Drosophila melanogaster: one gene and its partners. The protein of the gene in region 1 purifies or fractionates together with the protein of each later gene. This does not show direct contact. Each region holds a gene or a part of one and is shown in the gene's direction. Other genes may lie near its edges. The genes, in order: vig, Tdrd3 and Su(var)2-HP2.

Region 1 (8,205 bases):
TCACCACGTTCACCGCCGCGTTCCTCCCGATCTAGTCTTCCACGACGTTCACCGCCGCGTTCCTCCCGATCTAGTCTTCCACGACGTTCATCACCTAGAAAATATTTGATTTTCATAACAATTTTATTCACTTAAATTTAAGCAGACGAAATACAGTTCATAAAAATTCATAACCAAAACTAAAATTCATTTTTAAATTGTGTATTTTATTTTAATACTGTTTCTGTACCAATTTATTAGCTAATCACGGACAATATAACAATTTAATGTCAACGAATAATAAGAAATGGCGATGATTCTAATACCACGTTCAACTTTATTAAATTATTTAAGCAAACTAATATTAAATTTTTTTTGTATTTTTAAAATTAAAATGCTTTTTATTTGATTAGAGCAGCCCGAAAAATCTACCATCCGAGCTAAGACTTATAATATTTGCAGTCTTAAGCTCGAGTAAAAAGCGATATGCCATCAACGCATCCTTGCGATTTCGGATGAATGGTGCATTGTGCATATCAACCTGGGACTGTCTGATAAGAGCACCGAAGAGCCCATGAACTACTCTCATCTTATCCTTCTGAATGTTCTGAATTATACGTGGATCGTAGACTTTGACAGCGGGCATTGTACTAAAATTTAGCGCGCCTTGGCTATTTTCCTTAAAAGGCCCCAGGGAGCTGACCTGTGCCCCTAGTTCCTCTTGACGATCTACCATCAGACGAACCACATTAGCGTGTTGTGAAATATATGCCAAATCGTTCATGGACACTCGATATAGTTGATTTTGCATTGATGTTCTGCGGTCACTTGGCGTTTGCAAATCATTTGTTGATGTCGATGGGGCGATATTTACTGCATTGTCTGTAATATTGGTGCTAACAAGATTCAAAGAATTGAGTTGCAACGACGGTAGTATCTGTATATCAGTCACATAAGCGTGATCGCTCATATTGGCCAAAGTGTTTGATACCTCCAGTGGAACTTCGTCGACTTCCATTGGCATTGGTGGAACCGATGTATTCATCATATTAGAGATGTCCATTTTTTGGGGTTTAATTTCAATTTCGGTTTTAGGTCCGAAAACAGCAATTGGATGCTGACCTATTGGAGTGGAATTTATGGGAGGCAGTAAGGCCAAAGCTTGATCAAATGATGCTTGGTCACTTGATGCATTTCCAGATATCTCCAAGGGAGCTACTACAGGAAGATCTTGAGAGAACGCTGCAGATTGCATACAAGCCCCAGAATCCGAATACCCTGTTGCCTGTGCAACTTCTAGGGAGGTCGTCGTTGCTTCTGTGGTCGGTGGTACCTCCTCTTGTAGTACATTTCGGGTGATATGGACTGATGTCGTTATTTCTTTCACTGAACGGGTTACTGCCAGACCTGAAGACGTCGTCACTTCTCCAGCTGCATTTTGTAGCAAGCTGGACATAAAAGTGGCTGCAATATGTCGGCTGCTTTGGAAGGCTTCCTCGCGACGGACAATTCGTTCCGGTGTTAGTTGCGGGCTGGCAGCTGAAGCGATACGATTACGTCGTCTGCGTGTACGCGAGCGACGACGCGCCCTTTGTGTTTGGCGAGGAGGTGGACCTTCGGCATAGTTAACCATTTCATCACGTGGTCGGAAAATCGAGCCCCACTCACGTTGCTCGCTTAGTGTTGTCTCTTCCGGCGGGAAAGCAACACTCATTTGCAGCTCGCGTGACACCCTGGTAAAGCGTAGATGATGCTCTTCGTCAATGACCGGCAGTCTAGGTCGGAATGATAGTAAAGGTGTTGATGCTGGAGGGCCTCCAAGCCGAGAACGAACCACTGTTGATCCTGGATGTCCGACTAAGCGGGTTTCATCCGCATCAGCTGGTACCACCAAAGTGTTGCTATCCATTTCTAACCCCAATGAATGCTCTGCTGGCAGTGATGGAGCCAACGGTGTCGATGCAGCGCCGCCTGCTGCCAATGATGGTATGGTCCCATCTTCGTAAGTCAAATTGGGTATAAAAGACAAGCTGTGAAACGGACATTACTTAGCTTATGTGTTCATTTAAGTTATAGAGAAGGAAACGAAAGTAAGCGAAGAGATGGAAAATATGTACATATAGAAAAGTAAGCTGAATTTATACTGCATTAAGGTACTTCTCTAATCAAATTTCCTATAAATTGTTTCGGTGTCTGGCTAAATTTGGTGTTTTTTTTTTTCTTTTATGTAATCTTTAAATGTTTGAAATCTGCTCTTTTCTACACAACCGCTCATTGGAAAAAGGGAATAAAAAGTATCCATAGATGGTAAGAAAGAAAAGCGCTAGACTAGACTAGTTAGAGTTGGTTTAAGTACCCTGGATCGCTCCTATGTTCATTTGGGGTGCTCGAAGCACGCAGAGCCACAACTCTGCCGGGGACTCCGGTTGCGGAGCAGGGAGTCTCCTCATCTCCAGTTGCATTGTAGCGACTAACGTAAATTCCATCTGGCGTTTCCTGATTTTGCGACCGCTGATGTCGTGCCAAGTTTACCATACTGCTGAGCTGACCACTACTCGAATTGTTTGGCTCGCTCGCAACAGTGGCTATTATGCGTGTCCTAATTAAGGGCTGAGAATAAAATATGCCTTTTTGATGGACCGTCGAAATGTGCTGCTTTGGAGACTCTGGCCAGTCATAAGATTGAAAAACCATATGCGGACTGCCAAAACGTACGGCCCTTATTTCATGCCGAGTGACAAAGTTCTCACTTAGCCAGTGCAGAAATCTAGTCACTCCATATGTTGATCCATCCACTTGATTATTTTCTGGGTGTTCTCGGTCTTCTGTTGGAATAGAATCTTCTCTCAATGCTCCTTGATTATCATCATACAGCCGTCGACCCGTTTGGTAACCTCGATCCAAAACCTGATGATACACGGCGTATGCGGCGCTTTGTATTTCGGTTAAGTCATCGCCATCGGTTAAACCTCCTGATCGACCGCCCTCAGTACCGCTTGTCCTGTTTGTTTGTCCATCTCTGATCTCCGAAGATTGCGGCATCACAACTTGCTGTAAATTCCTCCATTGCGACAAATCAGCTCTGCAATCCGCATCAATGCTTTGAAATCCCATCCCAATCCCATTTGCTTCCTCATGTTCACCTTCACGAATCAATCGGCCCATGTCCTCCATAAGGCGATTCATCATATCTGTTGTTTCGCGTATCTGATGTGCCTTTTGTGCACGCTTTTCTTGAGCTAATTTCTCGAGAGAAGCCCATGCTTGGTTCACCAAAGCCTTAAATGCAGTCAGCAAGTAGTCACGCAATTTTCGAATCAGTGCTAGGCTGGTCGTGTACTTGCTCAAGTCCAGCTGATCGATGAATGCGCCCACCTCATCCTTATCGCAGCTAGATGGGATCGGCGGCAGTTCCTTAGCTAGAATGTTGGCCAATTTGCCACCAATTGGGCAAATATGCATACACAAAACAAAAGAAAACAAACTACTTGACAAAACAAAGCACACCACATGGAATTCAGCAGGAATGACTCAAATGACCATAACCCAAAATTTAACATGTCGTCCAAAAGGTTTACTCACCATCCTCGTTTTCGTACAGCCGACCGCGGAAGCCGCCTTCTCCACCACGGAAGCCGCCTTGTCCCCCGCGGGAGCCGCCTTGTCCACCGCGGGAGCCGCCTTGTCCACCGCGGAAGCCGCCTTCTCCACCGCGGAAGTCCCTTTCTCCCTCGCGACGTCCACCGTGGAAGCCCCCTCCATCTCGATTTCCTCCTCGATAACCTCCAGCTCCTCCTCCTCTGCCTCCGCCGATCCTTCCGAACACATCTCGATTTCCTCCTTGGTAGCCGCCGCCTTCACCACCGCTCCCTCCAACACCATCGCCTTCAGCTTCGCCGCTGAAGCTCTTGGCCGTGTCCTCATCATCGCTCCAATCTCCACCGCGGGCGCCGCGAGTATCAACAATGGGCTAAAATAGATAGGCTTAGTAAGCATATATTCTTTGTACGAAGCAATACGAACCTCATCATCCCAGTCGTCAGACATATTGATATTTTTTTTTTAATTTGGCTGAAAGAAAAAAAAATTAATTCTATATAAGTATAAAAGCAATAACTTAATACGTTCATTTCTAAAGTATTGAATTATGAATTCTTATAATATATGCTCCAACATTTTGTACCAATTTATATAATTTGCTCAATTTTTCACATATTCTCCAACTAATGAAATTGGCTTGCACTTCAAACTAAAAAGTGCCCGCCAAATCGAGAGCCCGCTAAACACAGCTGCCATTCGAATCGATTTGCGACATTCGCCGCGAAACGCGTTGAAAAACGTGAGTTTCTGTTTTTCTATGTATACCAAGAACACATGTGGGCGCTCTGTTCGTGCTGACTGTGGTGTGCGTGATTTGGCCCATGTGCGTGTGGAATCGCGTGAGGCAGTGTGTGTAGGTAATACTAGCAGCGAGGCGAAGAAGAAACACTGAAAATTAAGGTTAGAGAGCAGCAGCCACCAAACAGCCAGCAGAAAAGTAAGAAAAATCCACCCAAAGGGCCTAAATAAATTGAGTAAATTCACGTTAGTCCACGTGTTAATGTCGTAAACCATAAATCCAGCGAATATATGCCATATTAGACCATAGTTTGTGACACGAAAAAGAAATCCTATCGAATCTCACAGGGTGTGAGAGGCGGCGGGCGAAAAAGGAAAATCAATCAATTCCCACTAAAACTGTGTGTATTTATTTCTTTTTACAGAGCAAAAAGGCAATTAAAGCGGCAGCCAGCTAGCAACGAAAAACACACCCACCCACAAAATCATGGACAGCGCCGGTAAAAATCGTTATGAACTTTTGTTCATGGACGACGATGTCAGCGATCCATTAGATAATCTTGTGGCGCCGACGGCCGCTGCTGCCGCAGCAGCAGCTGGCAAGAAGAAGCAACCGTCAGCTGCTGCTGCAGCGGCCACCAAAACGACCGCCAACAAGGTGGCCAACAGCAATAACAAGGCGAACGCAGGATCCAATATTGGTGGACCCAATGCCAAGAAACCAAATCAGGCCGAAAAGGAGAACAAGCCCAATAATGCGTTAAACAAAACCGATGGCAAGAAGTTCACTCCATCGGCCGACAACAAACAGCAGCAGTTCAATAATAACGCCAGCAGCAATTACAAACAACAGGGTGCTCCACGGCAAGGAGGTGGCGCCAACCGAACACGTGAATTTGGTAGCGGTCAAGGACAGGGTCAAGGACAAGGTGGCCAGCAGCAGCGCAGCGTAAACTTCCGTCAACAGAATGGCAATGCCGAGACTCGTGAGCAGCGCAACAATCGCCGCAATGTCCGCGAAAACGTCGGAGCACCCGATGGCCAGCAGTCGCGACCTTACCGCGGACCAGGTGGAGGCCCAGGTGCTGGCGGAGATCGTCCCCAGCGTCAGAACCGCAACTACGATGGCCAGAACAGGAAGCGCGAGTTCGACCGCCAGTCGGGTTCCGATAGAACTGGTGAGTGTGTGGTCATTTCATTAAGGCATTAAGGTACCAAATGGGTTAGGGGTCAAGTCAAGTAGATACAGTGTAGATCACATTAAAGTCTTTACAGAGAAGTATACTTAGTAAAAAGGATAGAGAAGATGGGATATTTAGGGAGTAAATCGTTTAGATTAATGACCATTTTTTCGCATATGAATAGTTAATGTTTCTGTTGATAAGATCGAAACTAAAGTTGAACCACCAAGGGGTAGACATAACCATAAAACGAGCGCGCCCATACGAAAAAATTAACAAATAAACCAAAAGCCACACTCCATGACAACCAGAAAATAAAACTCAGCAGGCAACGCAGGAAAAACAAATTCCATCCACAGTTTACGCGTAACCAATTACCATGTTTATAGTCATGAGAAATTATTAGTCGCCTTCAAGCAACATGATTCCAATCTTCTGTGTACACAACAAATATTTAAAAGAAACTGGAATTCGTTCGGTGTTTGAAATGCGATTCCTTTTAATAAACTATGTGAAATTTCCATCAATTGATTTAAGATTTCTATAGCTAATCTAAATCATGAATTTAATGTATTTCAAAGTATAAAATATTTATTAGCCTGCTCCGAGCAGATTGCCAATCTTATTTAATGGATAGTAATATTTAAACAGTTGCATTATAAATCAGTTTAAATATATATTGTTTATGCCAAGCAATTTCACGAAAAGTGCGGGAGAACGGTGTAAACCAATTTGTGGCACACAAAATCCCGATGAACTTATGGGCAATGGTCAAACAACACAGGCAAATCTCCCACTCACGTGGGGGATAAGTGAGTCAAATCAATACTAATGGTCGGACAGAACATTCAACAAGCTACATCACACTTCTTTCCATTGAATGAAATCTATTTCGCCGCGTTTTCCCCCGTTTTCCACTGCCTGCTTAGACCGACCGCTTCGTTTTTGGAATATCCAAAATTATAATATCACAGCGGCCGGCAGCAACAGAAACAAGAAGCACTGCGGCACAAATCGAAAGAGAAAATGTGTTAAAAATAGTTCGCCCATCTTCTTGGCGGCATTCCCGTCTAACGCAAGTGCTTGTAGGAGGCCTTTGCAGGCATAATCATTGGGGGGAAACAGGGGTTGGAATAGTTCCCCCACTGAATCTGATTACAGTGAACTGGGGCTGCTACTGTCGGCTTATCTGTGACTATGCGAGCGAGGGCAGTGAATATAGTCCCCCTATCGTGGTTACTTCTCAATTGACCTAATTAGTGGGGTATTGATAAAATAGACCATTATTTGGCTAATAATTAAAGTATTCAGTTAATAAATTAAGCAGAAAAACTTACTTTAGGGCTTGCAGGCAAGTTGCACTATAGCTGTGGCTAAAATTTGCAAATATAGAAGCTCAGATTTTCCGCTTCTTGACGTTTCTGAATTTAAGCAGACATAAATCATTATTAATATTTGATACTTTCTTTATGCACAGGTGTGAAGTCAATTGACAAACGCGATGGAGCTGGCTCCCACAACTGGGGATCGGTCAAGGAGGCTATTGATGATGTGAACAAGAACGAAAGCGAAACCAATGTGACCAATGCCGAGGGCGGCGCCAAGGCCGATGAATCTGGCACTGAACCACAAAACGAGCAGGCTACCGCCGAGGAGGAAGCCAAAGAGCTGACCTTGGACGAGTGGAAGGCACAGCAAGGACAGCGCATCAAGCCAACCTTTAATATCCGCAAGGCTGGAGAAGGTGCGTGAACAATGCATAATTTTTTTATGGTTAATAATTTGAATTCGATACCACGGAATGATAGTTTAACTTCCGTTATTCTAAGAAACCTTTTCGCCAAGCCAACAACCAAAGTTACAAATCATATTGAGCTAAAATCCGTATAAAAGAAGTATAAAATTGAAAATCAAACCGATCTTAGCTTAACTCTAAATGATGGCCTATCATCTAGAAATTAATCTACAATCAATATTTCCCGCAGGTGAGGACACCACACAATGGAAGAAAATGGTCGTCCTAACTAGCAACAAGAAGAAGGAGAACGACAGCGAAGAGGAGCTCGAGTACGACCCTGCCCTTTATCCACAGCGTGTGGGCAGGCAACAGCGCGTCCTGGACATTCAGTTCAATTTCAACGATGGTCGTCGTGGCGGACCTGGCGGTTTCGGTGGACGCGGTGGCCGTGGAGGCCCCAGACCCGGTGGATTTGGAGGCGGACCACGCAGCGAGGGTGGCAACCGCGATGGCGGCAATCGTGAGGGCGGCCGAGATAATCGTGAGGGTGGAAACCGTGGCCCACGGGATGGCCAGCAGCATAATAACGAGGGCGGCGGTTCATCCGCTCAAAATCAAAGGCCACCCATCGATCGTCGCGGTCCGGGAAACAACCAGAACAACAATCAGAACAGCGGTCCAGGGCCGAATAAGCGTTTTGAGCGACAACAGAACACCGCTCCCAAGGTCAACGATGAGCGTCAGTTTCCCACTCTGGCTTAAATCGATCGTTTTGGGCAGGAGTAGGTTCCTCAAATTGCAGTTTTGGTTACTGACGATGGTGAATGAAAGCAGCAAGTTACCAAAATGAAAACTTATAAATTACGTATATCACAGACAACAAACTTTTTAAAAACTAAAAGAAAAATGGGGAAATTACGAAAACAATTGTAGCCGCCATTATAAGCCAAAAGCAACAAAAATACCAAC
Region 2 (5,439 bases), on another chromosome or scaffold:
TGTGAGTGATTTTATCTTCAATTTAGATTTATAAAGTTTCTGGCTAATCTCATAGCATAAGTATTTAGTTTATTCTCTTTGCAAAAGTATTTGATGAAATGTTTTCGGACTGCGTTGCTATTCATATACCCACCGCTGTGCCCAACCATTTGCCCATATATTCGGGTGCCGCTTTACAAAAGTGCGTTGTCCCGGGCATACGAAACTTGTTTTTCTGTTTTCGTAAGGTTTTTCAACTGCGCCGCAGTTTTCTTTTGAGCGGATGGGACGAGCCCCCTTCGAAATTGGACAAACACGCCCAAAAACACACACACACTATCGCAGTCAATTATGAAAGATCCCCATTGACTTCCTAGCGACCTACAAACGCAAACAAGCTTATCAATAAAATTCAATTCAATGCGTTTTATATTGAGCCTCGCAGCATCTTTCGCGCTCTCCCACTCCCACTCGCTCTCTTTCTCACTCCCACTCACAGAGTCACTGAACTGCCCAGTGTGGTTGCTTTTGCACTCAGCTGTTTTGCGAACGCAAGTGTGAGTGTGTTCGTGTGTGTGCATTCTGCACGAAGAGGGGAGAGCAGTAGAGAAAACACCAGAGGGGTGCAGAAAATATTCACAGGGGTTTTCCCAAGCAGAAAACATTGTGCAAAGGCCAAGTTCAGACGCGGAGTGTGAAAAGAAACAAGAAACTTAACAAATTAAGATTTATGCAAAGCAAAATAAAAAATTTATTTTTGTTTCGCCTTGGAGAATCGCTATCATATAGTTGGCAGATCTTAATGATTCCGAAAGCTTCCCTCTCTAGACCCACCCATGTAAGCAAGTGGGAAGAGACTTACCCAATGGCAAATCGCAGAGGAGACAGCAGGCGGCCAGGGAACCGGCCGAAGCGCCTCCGATCTTCTCCAGCAACAGATGCGGTGCATACTTCTTGAAGCAGACGGCCACTCCGACGTGGTAGATGCCCAGGAATCCGCAGCCAGCGAATGATAGATTCATGCTTTGGACTCGGCGTTAGATTCTATAAATCGTTCGATGACTGTTTGTTGTTGTTGCTACTGCGTCACTGGTTTTTTCTCTCTTTAAGGTATTTTCTCGCACTTTCTTCGCGGATTTTAGTCGTTGCAGCTCCTTTGATGTAACAATTTCTTGTCGCGTTTCGAAATAAATCTCGTTTGGGTTTTCAATCACTGTTTGTCGGTCGGCTGGAAAAATTACTCCGCTCTCGAAATGAAAAGTTGTTGCTCGCGAACCGTTATTTACTCGCTCTGCGGATGGCAGCCCCCTTTTATACATTCATTGCGGCGCGGTGTGACCGCATTTTATTCGCTTTACCACCTAAACTAGAACTGTCATTAGAGTGGCTGTGCGTATAGGGTACTCTTTTGTTTGTTCTAAACATGTAGATATTACGACTTTAAATCGATTTATAATGCCAATTCTTTATAACTGATAAAATTTAATTATCGATATATAAGTACATCTATCAAAAATATATATGCTAGTATATGTGTTGCACCCAATTTTGACATTATCTCTTGGGACATAATATATATATTATATTTAATTTGAATAAGTGTGCAAGAAATATTAAAATTTTTAGATTTTAAGAAAGCATTTAATATTACTAAACAACCTAAACTTAAACGATAATAGTATGCACCGTCAGCCGATAGTTGCCGCCAAGCACATCACTAGCGAGTACACACATCTAATACTTTTGTCATCCCTAGTCCGGAGTTGCAAAAAAATCGTCTTCATGAAAAAATGGAATTAGGCAAGAAACTACGAGAAGTCGGGTGGTAAGTACAATTTTAAATTGTGGCATACAATGCTTCTTAACGATTTACGCAGGTACCTGACAGAGGAGGGCCTTAAAATCGTGACAACAGCCGTCGGCAGCGAGGATGTCCGGAAAATAGTCAATGATGCACTGAATGTGAGTTGTAGGCGAACCGGCTGCTCAGCATTCTGTGTAATTATTAATTATAACCTATTACTCACACTTTGCAGCGAGATCTGCGCGATATTGGCGGTGGCGCACTGCCCGCGAAACGCGAAGATGCCACTTTGCCCGGTAAAATTGTGCTGCAGGTTCAGCGTGTGCGAAATATTGCCGCTCCCAAGGCGAATGAGGAATCGAAGGCGGCGCCACGCCTCCTTCAGTTGGATCTGAGTGATGGGCAGAATTCCATAAAGGCCTTGGAGCTGGAGCCAGTTCCCCAACTGAATCTCAATGTGGCTCCCGGAAGCAAGATCTATTTCAAGGCCGAGAAACTGCAGCTTATGCAGGGATTCCTGCTGCTAAAGTCCAGTGAAATTCAGCTGCTCGGCGGCCGTGTGGATGCACTCTACGAGAAATGGGATCTGGCCAGGACCATGATGAGATATGCGCGCAGTGGGCGCCCCTTGAATGGGACATCAGCGCCACCCCCGTGGGTGGCATTTGGCCGAAAAATCGATAGCAACGCCGAAAGCGAAATGAACTTTAAGAGCCTGGGCGAGGGCGACAAGGACAAGCCGGCAAAGGAGAACGAAGAGTTCAATGCCATGCGCACAGAGGCCATTGCCGTGGCCACCAAGGCCGGCGGCAAGAAGATCTTTGGCGGCGGTGGCCAGAACATTATCGATCACAATGTTAAGAAGATCCTAGACAAGGGCTTCAGCGAGGAGGAGGCCCGCAGTGCCTTATCTGCTACCCGAAACAACTTGGAGCGCGCCCTATACAATCTAAAAAGACGCAGTGAAGCTGGCGGTGTGGGTCCGATCGAATCCGTGGGTCGTCCGGGACGCGGAGATCGTCCGCCCAGAGAGGGAAAGCGTGGAGCTAGCGCCAAGGACGAAGTTGAAGCACCCAAGCCGGCTGCCAACACCACGCTGTTTGATTTCCTAACCAATAAACTGCCCGCCAAGGAAACACCGGCCGCTAGTAATGCAGAAACCTTCGCTGCCGCTCCAACTGCCGCTCCGACTGCCCCACCCACTACCAATCACTTCAATCCATTTAAGCAATATGGAAGCTCGCGCTTCAGCGATTCCGAGAGCAAACCTTCAGCTATGGGCGGAGGCGGCAAGTTTGCAGATCGTTCTAGGTTTGAGAACAACGTATCGAGCAGCTTTGCCGCACATCGTGGTGGACATGTGGGTTCGTCGCGAGGCGGTGGCCGTAACCGGGGTGGCGGCAGGGACGAAAGGCCACCAAGAGAGGAGCGAGCCTACAGGGAAGACAGGCCTCCGAGGGAAGAAAAACCGCCGAAAGAGGAGAGACCACCGCGAGAGCGAGGAGCGTTCAATGATCGTGCAGCTGGACGTTACAAACCAGAAACGCCAACCGTAAAAACCGCAAATCGCAATGGCTCGGATAACGTATCGTTGAAACCGAATTCCGAGATTAAGCCAGATCATGAAACAACCAATGGGAAGGACCACACTGGCAACCGACGTGGCAGCGAACGAGGCAGCAATCGTGGAGGCTCCAATCGAGCAGAGAACGGCAACGCCAATGGCAACAGACGAAACAAGCCGGCAGCAAGCTTAACTTCGGCGAGTTCTGCAGCGAAATCGACAAATAGTGCTGGCGATGATTTCAACGCCCGTTTGAGTAAGATAACCGAGGAAACAGCTAATCTCAAGGTGAGCAGTGCGCCAAAGCGAGAGAATCGACGTAAGCAAGGAGGACAAGCCAATCGCCTGGCGGGATCGGGCACAGAAACAACGCAGCAGCAGCAGCCAGCACAGTTGCATTCGCAGAAGCCAGAGAAGGCTCAAACCAACCAAAAGCATCACAATCCCAGGCACAATTCGCAGGCGAACTACAGTCAATTGGCGAATGGCTACACTTACGATCCCAGCAAGATCATGGGTTTCCAGAGCAAGGAGGCCAACGAGTTTGCCATGAACCTTCTAAAGAGCCAGGGTGTTACACTGCCCAACGAAAAACAACAGGAGGAGGAACAGCAGGAATCGCCACCCATGTCCTTTGGCCCCGTTTCCGCTCCTGTTTCCCGTGCGCAACCTGCTCCAGTGGCTGTGCCACAGGCTGCGCCACGGGATCAGTTCGGCATGGTGCCAGGCGATGCGTGGATGTGGCAGAAGGGCGACTTGTGCATGGCCAAGTATTGGGACGATGGAAGGGTGAGTTTAGGTCGATAAACTGAAAGTACATTCGTAATTGTAGTAGGACAAAGTATTCAAATTGATCTATTGAACTTAACTTATCATTCCTTCTTTATTTTCCAGTATTATGAGGCTGAGATCACGGGCGTGTCGGAGAAAACTTGCGTGGTCTTCTTTATGGGCTATGGAAACCATGAGGAGGTATTGAAGGTCGACATCCTGCCCATCACCGATGCCCAAAACAGGCCACTGAGCAACTCAGCGCAGCAGCAGCAACCGCATCTGCAGCAACAGCAACCGCATCTACAGCAGCAGCAACATTCACGCTACCGCGGAGATCGTCAGACGCAGCAGCAGCAAGTCTACGTGCCGCCCCACAAACGAGAGCATTGAGACAACATGGTAACAGCCTGTTAACAACGTATTTAAATCAATTAACATGTTTCGAATAAACAACTTTACAGAATATTAAAACTATGAGTACGTATTTTGTAATCTGCTGACTTTCATATAATTTAAAGCGTACTGTTGATTACGTCTTACCTATTAAGTGAATATATCTCCTATAACGTGAAAAATTGAATTAAGCAAAGTTTTATTTAATAATTTAGTAATTAACATTTCTTTGTAAACATTATTCGAATTCGATTAATTCCTGGCGCAGTACTATCGATTGTCCCTGATTTCTGCGCGACATGTTCAGCACTATTTCGCGCCGCTGCTCAGCACTGGTGCATTTCGCGAATTTTCCCTCATACATACATAACTTATTTTTAACATTTTTCGACGTGATGTGCATTTTCTCTCATAGTTTTGTGCTTAACCATGTAAAATAGAATTAGTCCGTAGTGTACAAACAATAGGATTTAGTGCAAAGGTAACGCAAAAAGAGTGCAAAAGCCCGAAATGTACGCACAAATTGGCCAGCAAGTGTACAGCTGGCTGGCTGACTTGCCATAAACGCGCTGGAAAGGGTTCAGCGCAGTAAATTTTGCTTGCTGAGCATGCAAAACGATTAACGAGCCGTATAAATAACTGACTAATCAGATAAAAGTGCAATGCGGTCATATGCATGTATTGTGCGCATATATTTTCATATGATGGCAAAATCATCGTGTAGTACATGCGCCAGTGTTGTCAAGTTCGCATGCGGTGTTGCAAAGCGACGGTTGTCGATATTCGTGCAATGTTTTGTGCCGATTTTATTGAGCAATTAACATGGCATTAAAATAAACGAAATTAAATTATTATTGCCCGTCATTAAATGTGTTGCATGTGTCACTTCTTAAATACTGGAAAATATGATTGATCCCACCATTCA
Region 3 (4,894 bases), on another chromosome or scaffold:
CATATCGAAACCAAGTGCCCAAACTTCCGCAAGAGAAAGACGAACTATACCAAAGGCTGCCTTTTGTGCGGCAAACGAAATCACAGGGAAAAGCGATGCTCGTACCGCTCAAAATACTTCAGGGAACAGTGTTTTATGAACGAAACAACAATTCAGTGTCTTTAAGATACATACAAATATATATGTACAAAGATAAATACAAATTGCATTTCTTTATATACTGAGGGGCACTTTAGACTGTATGCATTTATGCAGTTTATAAGAACAACACTGACAAAACCTTCACTACCATCCATAAACAACAGGGCACACATTTGTTTAATACAAAATTTATTTGTTCTTAACACTTTTCGTTGAATGTCTTACAAGTTCTTGAATTGCAACGGCTGCGCGCGGAATTTCTGATGCACATGACCACGATAAATTGTGGAATGAATTCTCAGCCCGCCGGATGAACGAACGGATTGGGGGAAAACGATTAAATTTTGAAAATATGCATTACGTTTAAACAGGTTTTTAACTTAAGCTTAGGTATAATTAATTTCATGTGGAAACACACCAATGCCTCAACAAGCGGAATGGATCTCTTCTTATCTCGCCGCAAAAGAAATGATGACGTCGACATTGTTCACGCTCGTTGAGGTGAAAGTATTTTATTGGCTACGAAATGCATGGCTTAAGAACGATTGTATTTGCCCCAAATGTGCAGCATGAAGACGGAAGCGATGAAGAGCAGCGACATGACCAGCACGGGTACGGGACCACTGCAGCAAAAGTCTCATTAGCACTGGGCCTTTAATATAAATATAGCCGAGTTATTCACTTACACTTTGATACCGGGCGAGTCGTCCGTGTAGAAACGCCACATGCCACCAGTTCCGGCTCCGCCGGGTGCACGGCTCCGGGCCGCTGTGGTGCTGGTGGTGGTCTTGCGCTGCTTCAGGGTGCTGCCGCCTCCGGATCCGGCGCTACGTGGCGCCGACAATTTGCTGGGGGAGCGCGATCCGCTGCCCACGGACGTTGAACTGGCTGGAGCGGGCTGGCAAATGTGTTTTAATTAGTTGCCGCACTCAATTGCCATCTAGTTTAACTCACCATTTTGGGCTATCTGTTCCTCTGGACCGACTGACCTGGAAAATATGAACGGGCGAAGTGGAATCTGAACGTGAATCTGAATCTGACGTGCTCGGCTTCGTGTCGCTTCGTCTTTTTTCGTTCCACGTCACTTTGGTGGTGGCACCGCTGCCGATAGGTCGTGACGCTGAGGTGACAGCTATCGTGCACTTAGACAGCTGGAGATGACAGGCTAAGGCAACTCAACTATCGGCTGCTTTGGCTCTAAAATGAACTAGTAAAAAAAAAACGAAGAAATAATATATTCAAGTTATGAATTTAATAGATAACAATAATAGATAAAATATTAATTCTACAAAATGAATTGTTTAAATCAATTTGAATGAATCCTATTAATATAATTGGCTATTATTAAAACTCCGATAATAAATGCTATTATTCTTGATTTCCCTTGATTTAATTATATAATACATACTTAATAACTATATAATTATATAGAATAAAAACTTAATCACGCATTTAATAGATCATATAGATATAGAATATATAGAAAATCAATGAAATCGATTTTGATAGCGATAATGTGCAACCTTGCATGTAAGTTATTTTTAGATTTTAGCTGGGCAAGCGCAATTTTCTTGGCGCGCACCAAACAATTTGTAAATAATATTTTTGCTTAACTGGTATTGGTTCGACTGCGAATCACTAAAAATTATTAAGTGACTTAAGCACCGTGTTTTAAACATTGTTAATCGGAACGGCCACACCGAAGCGCGGGCTCACTAAACGCTTTTGTCATTTTTGCACATCTGTACAACGTTCACGTTAATTGCAGCGGCATCATCTTTGCTGGATTTCAAAGGAATATTTTGCGGTGAAAAGAACGAAAAAGTGCTTGCATTTGTGCGCTAATGGGTATATGAGGTCCTTCTGCTAAAGGAATGCCAAGTCATACAAACTTTTCGCGATTCGCCTTAATGGAAATAGATAAGACGCGGCGCAGTTGAAAGATTGCAAATTGATCCACCGATCGACCGACGCACATGAAAAGTGAAGTATGGAGGACATTGAATATTTAGACGAGTACAAAGACTTGGTGCTGCCAGGTGCGTGATTTCAGCTTCCAATGCTATAAATACTTCTAATGTGATTTGTCTGTCTACTTTGCGCGCGCACAGGGATTAAATCGAGTGCTCCGACAGCATCTTCTGCCGGCGTTCCGCGGCAGCGGCGCATTTCATCAGACTCGAGCAACTCGTCGTCGATTGATGCGGACATTTTCCAAAAGCTCTTCCATGGCAAGTACCTCGACGACGAACTGCTTAAGGAGGGCTCTGGCTCGAAGTCGCAGGACAGGCGTCGACGCCCCCCATCTCCCTCCTCCAGCGACGAGTCCAACGATGCCTTGGAAGCCCTCTTCTGCGGGAAGAGCAGCCAGTCAAAGCTGAGCAAGAGGCGCGAACGGTATGAGTCGTTCGATTCGGTGGACGACCTAGGTGGGCATTTCGCAATGGTTTCAATGACGCATTTTATCAATAACATTTACTTTATGCCTACACTTAGGAGAAGCCCTAATGCGTCCATCGCACAGGCTGACCGTACCCAAGCCCAGTACCTCTCAGGCAGGTTCCAAAAAGTCACAAGATGCTGCCCCACACAGAAGCATTAGCAATAGCAGCAGCAGCAACATTGCCATGTCATCTGGGCAAACTTATGCATGTCCAAAAAACAAGAAAACCAATTCTGTGGCCAACAAGACAGCAGTATCTGCAAATGGTGATAAATGGGCTTCCGGCAAAAACAAGACCGTTACCATTGTAAAGCCCCAAAAAACAGATCTAAGGCCTTCGCGGCTTGAACCCAAAACAGATCCATTAAGTAAGTTCGATATTGTGCTACATATCTGGCTGTGCATAACCACTTCGTATTTTCCATAGATTTGGGTGACTTATACGGGGACTCTGACAGCGATTCGTCCTATGAGTATGAATCGGACTTTTACGGCGATCAAGACTCCGATGAAGAGGATGAGCCGGTGATCGACATTTCAACGGACACAAGCAGGACCACATCGGTGGCGGGTAAGTCAGCGTTATTAACTAGTTGATACTGCCAACCCTCTGATAATATTCATAATATGTAAACACACATAAACCGTGTAGACACTGTGACACCTGTTGTTTCCGACGACGAGGGCCAGGAGCCGCAGAGTGAGCTGAATCAGCGTCATGCGAATGATCAGGAGTCTTTTTTGAGCAGCACCTACGAACGCCTGCAGTCGTATTTGAGTAATCTCAGTTCCGCCGAGCCGCCGCCAATCTATAAGAAACAGAATAGTGCGAGAAAATCCCGCTCCAACGAAAAGAAACCCTCTTCTTCCCAACAGGTTAAGCATGCTAATGAGCAATCAGCGGGTAAGTGTGCACCAACGTCCATTGGGGCGTCCATTTCTGAGCGCCCTCGTGAACCCTTACCTCTGCTACACCCTTACATTTGTAACTTTTTCTGCTTTTTGTTTCGCAGCCAGTGACAAAGAGGCTAATAAAAAGGAGCGGGATTTGGAGCCACCGGAGGCGAGCAGCAGTGCGAAATCCTCGGCCAGCAAGGCTAGCGGTAGTCGCAAGCTGTATGACGTAGCTAATAATGCTACGCTTGAGGCTGTGGAGCGCATGAGTCTCGACCTGGCCGAGCAAATCATGGAGATCGATGTGGAGCGATCTTACGAGTTCGAAAAGCGGTCTGCCTCAAAGTCGCGTAGCTTATCCAGATCTAAGATTCCAGCAGATTCTAGCACCTCGCAATTGGGTCACGTGCGAAAGCTAACCTATTCGAGCGAAAGACTGGATCAACCGGAACCTTTGGGCACCCAGTTGCGTCGGTCGAAGAGCGAGTCCTTACCAAAGCGAGGTCGCCCTCGTGGCCAAAAGCAGCGTAAGAACCGTGGAGCAACCATGGAGGAAAAAAGTGCTAATTGCCGGGATGGGGAAGGAGAGCCAGTCAAAAGAAAACGCGGAAGGCCTCGCAAAATTATTCCAAAGGAGGAGGCTAAAACAGCAGAGACTGAAAATACAATTGAAAGCTTGAACACAAATGTTCCTCTCTCAATAGATACGAGCAAAGAAAATCCGGAAACGGAGACGGTTAATTTAGAAGTGCCAATAAAACAGGATGAACTAGTTAGCGATTTGGACAATGCCAAGGAGCTCACAGGATCTACCAATTTACCCCAGGATGATATTGAAATGGCGTCAAATCACCAAGAAACGGATCTTAAATGTGCTCCGGACAGGGTTGCGCTGGATAAGTCTGAGTCCACGCCAAAGGTCGAAGAAGAACAGCTTTGTAAAGTGGACACACCTAGTGATACTGCACTGGACGAAAGCAAAGTATCCGAAAGTGCAAAAAATCATATTGAATTGGAAGATAAGGATAAGGATAAGGAGGAAACTCAGAAGGAATCTCCCAATGGCAATTCGAAGGAAACCAATGAAAACTCGGTTATAGTTACTAATGAAGTTGAATTACCAGCTAAAAAGGCTGAAGCCAAGGCAGAAGCGGGAAATATTGTTGAGGAAAGCGACTCCCAACTTGCTGAGGATTTTAAATTGGCTGAAGAGATCTTAGCCGCTGAGGTTGGTAAGGGAGTTGAAGCCAACGAGGTATCAGTGACATCTGTGCAGGGAGAACAAAATCCAGTCATTGAAATTGTTAAAGAGTTAGAGCAAGAAACCATTTCGGAAGTCGTGCCCGCTCAGAATGATCAATCTTCAGTCGAAGACCAAACTTTAGCTGATAAAGAAAATCCAGTGGAAAAACCGTC

The links.
Region 2: the proteins of vig (region 1) and Tdrd3 purify together in Drosophila melanogaster (affinity purification with western blotting; one study listed by BioGRID). This does not show direct contact.
Region 3: the proteins of vig (region 1) and Su(var)2-HP2 purify together in Drosophila melanogaster (affinity purification with western blotting, with the first as the bait; one study listed by BioGRID). This does not show direct contact.

The regions. Positions count from the first base shown.
Region 1 is NT_033779.5:15,064,227-15,072,431, reverse strand, and holds the start of vig (vasa intronic gene), read left to right. Parts: upstream 1-2,115; 5' UTR 2,116-2,286; intron 2,287-2,335; coding exon of another isoform or gene 2,336-3,398; intron 3,399-3,561; coding exon of another isoform or gene 3,562-3,949; intron 3,950-4,002; coding exon of another isoform or gene 4,003-4,026; exon of another isoform or gene 4,027-4,050; intron 4,051-4,353; exon of another isoform or gene 4,354-4,516; intron 4,517-4,742; 5' UTR 4,743-4,804; coding exon 4,805-5,495; intron 5,496-6,975; coding exon 6,976-7,242; intron 7,243-7,483; coding exon 7,484-7,998; 3' UTR 7,999-8,205. Other genes in the region: vas (vasa), read right to left, coding at 1-94, 3,562-3,949, 4,003-4,026; solo (sisters on the loose), read right to left, coding at 389-2,009, 2,336-3,398, 3,562-3,949, 4,003-4,026.
Region 2 is NT_037436.4:14,785,078-14,790,516, forward strand, and holds Tdrd3 (tudor domain containing 3), read left to right. Parts: upstream 1-1,713; 5' UTR 1,714-1,769; coding exon 1,770-1,804; intron 1,805-1,856; coding exon 1,857-1,941; intron 1,942-2,015; coding exon 2,016-4,136; intron 4,137-4,241; coding exon 4,242-4,511; 3' UTR 4,512-4,588; downstream 4,589-5,439. Other genes in the region: bmm (brummer), read right to left, coding at 842-1,001.
Region 3 is NT_033778.4:14,615,104-14,619,997, reverse strand, and holds the start of Su(var)2-HP2 (Su(var)2-HP2), read left to right. Parts: upstream 1-1,879; 5' UTR 1,880-2,131; coding exon 2,132-2,180; intron 2,181-2,252; coding exon 2,253-2,570; intron 2,571-2,637; coding exon 2,638-2,952; intron 2,953-3,011; coding exon 3,012-3,155; intron 3,156-3,236; coding exon 3,237-3,488; intron 3,489-3,597; coding exon 3,598-4,894. Other genes in the region: CG12863 (uncharacterized protein), read left to right, coding at 1-165; Sec61beta (Sec61 beta subunit), read right to left, coding at 677-764, 828-1,039, 1,096-1,098.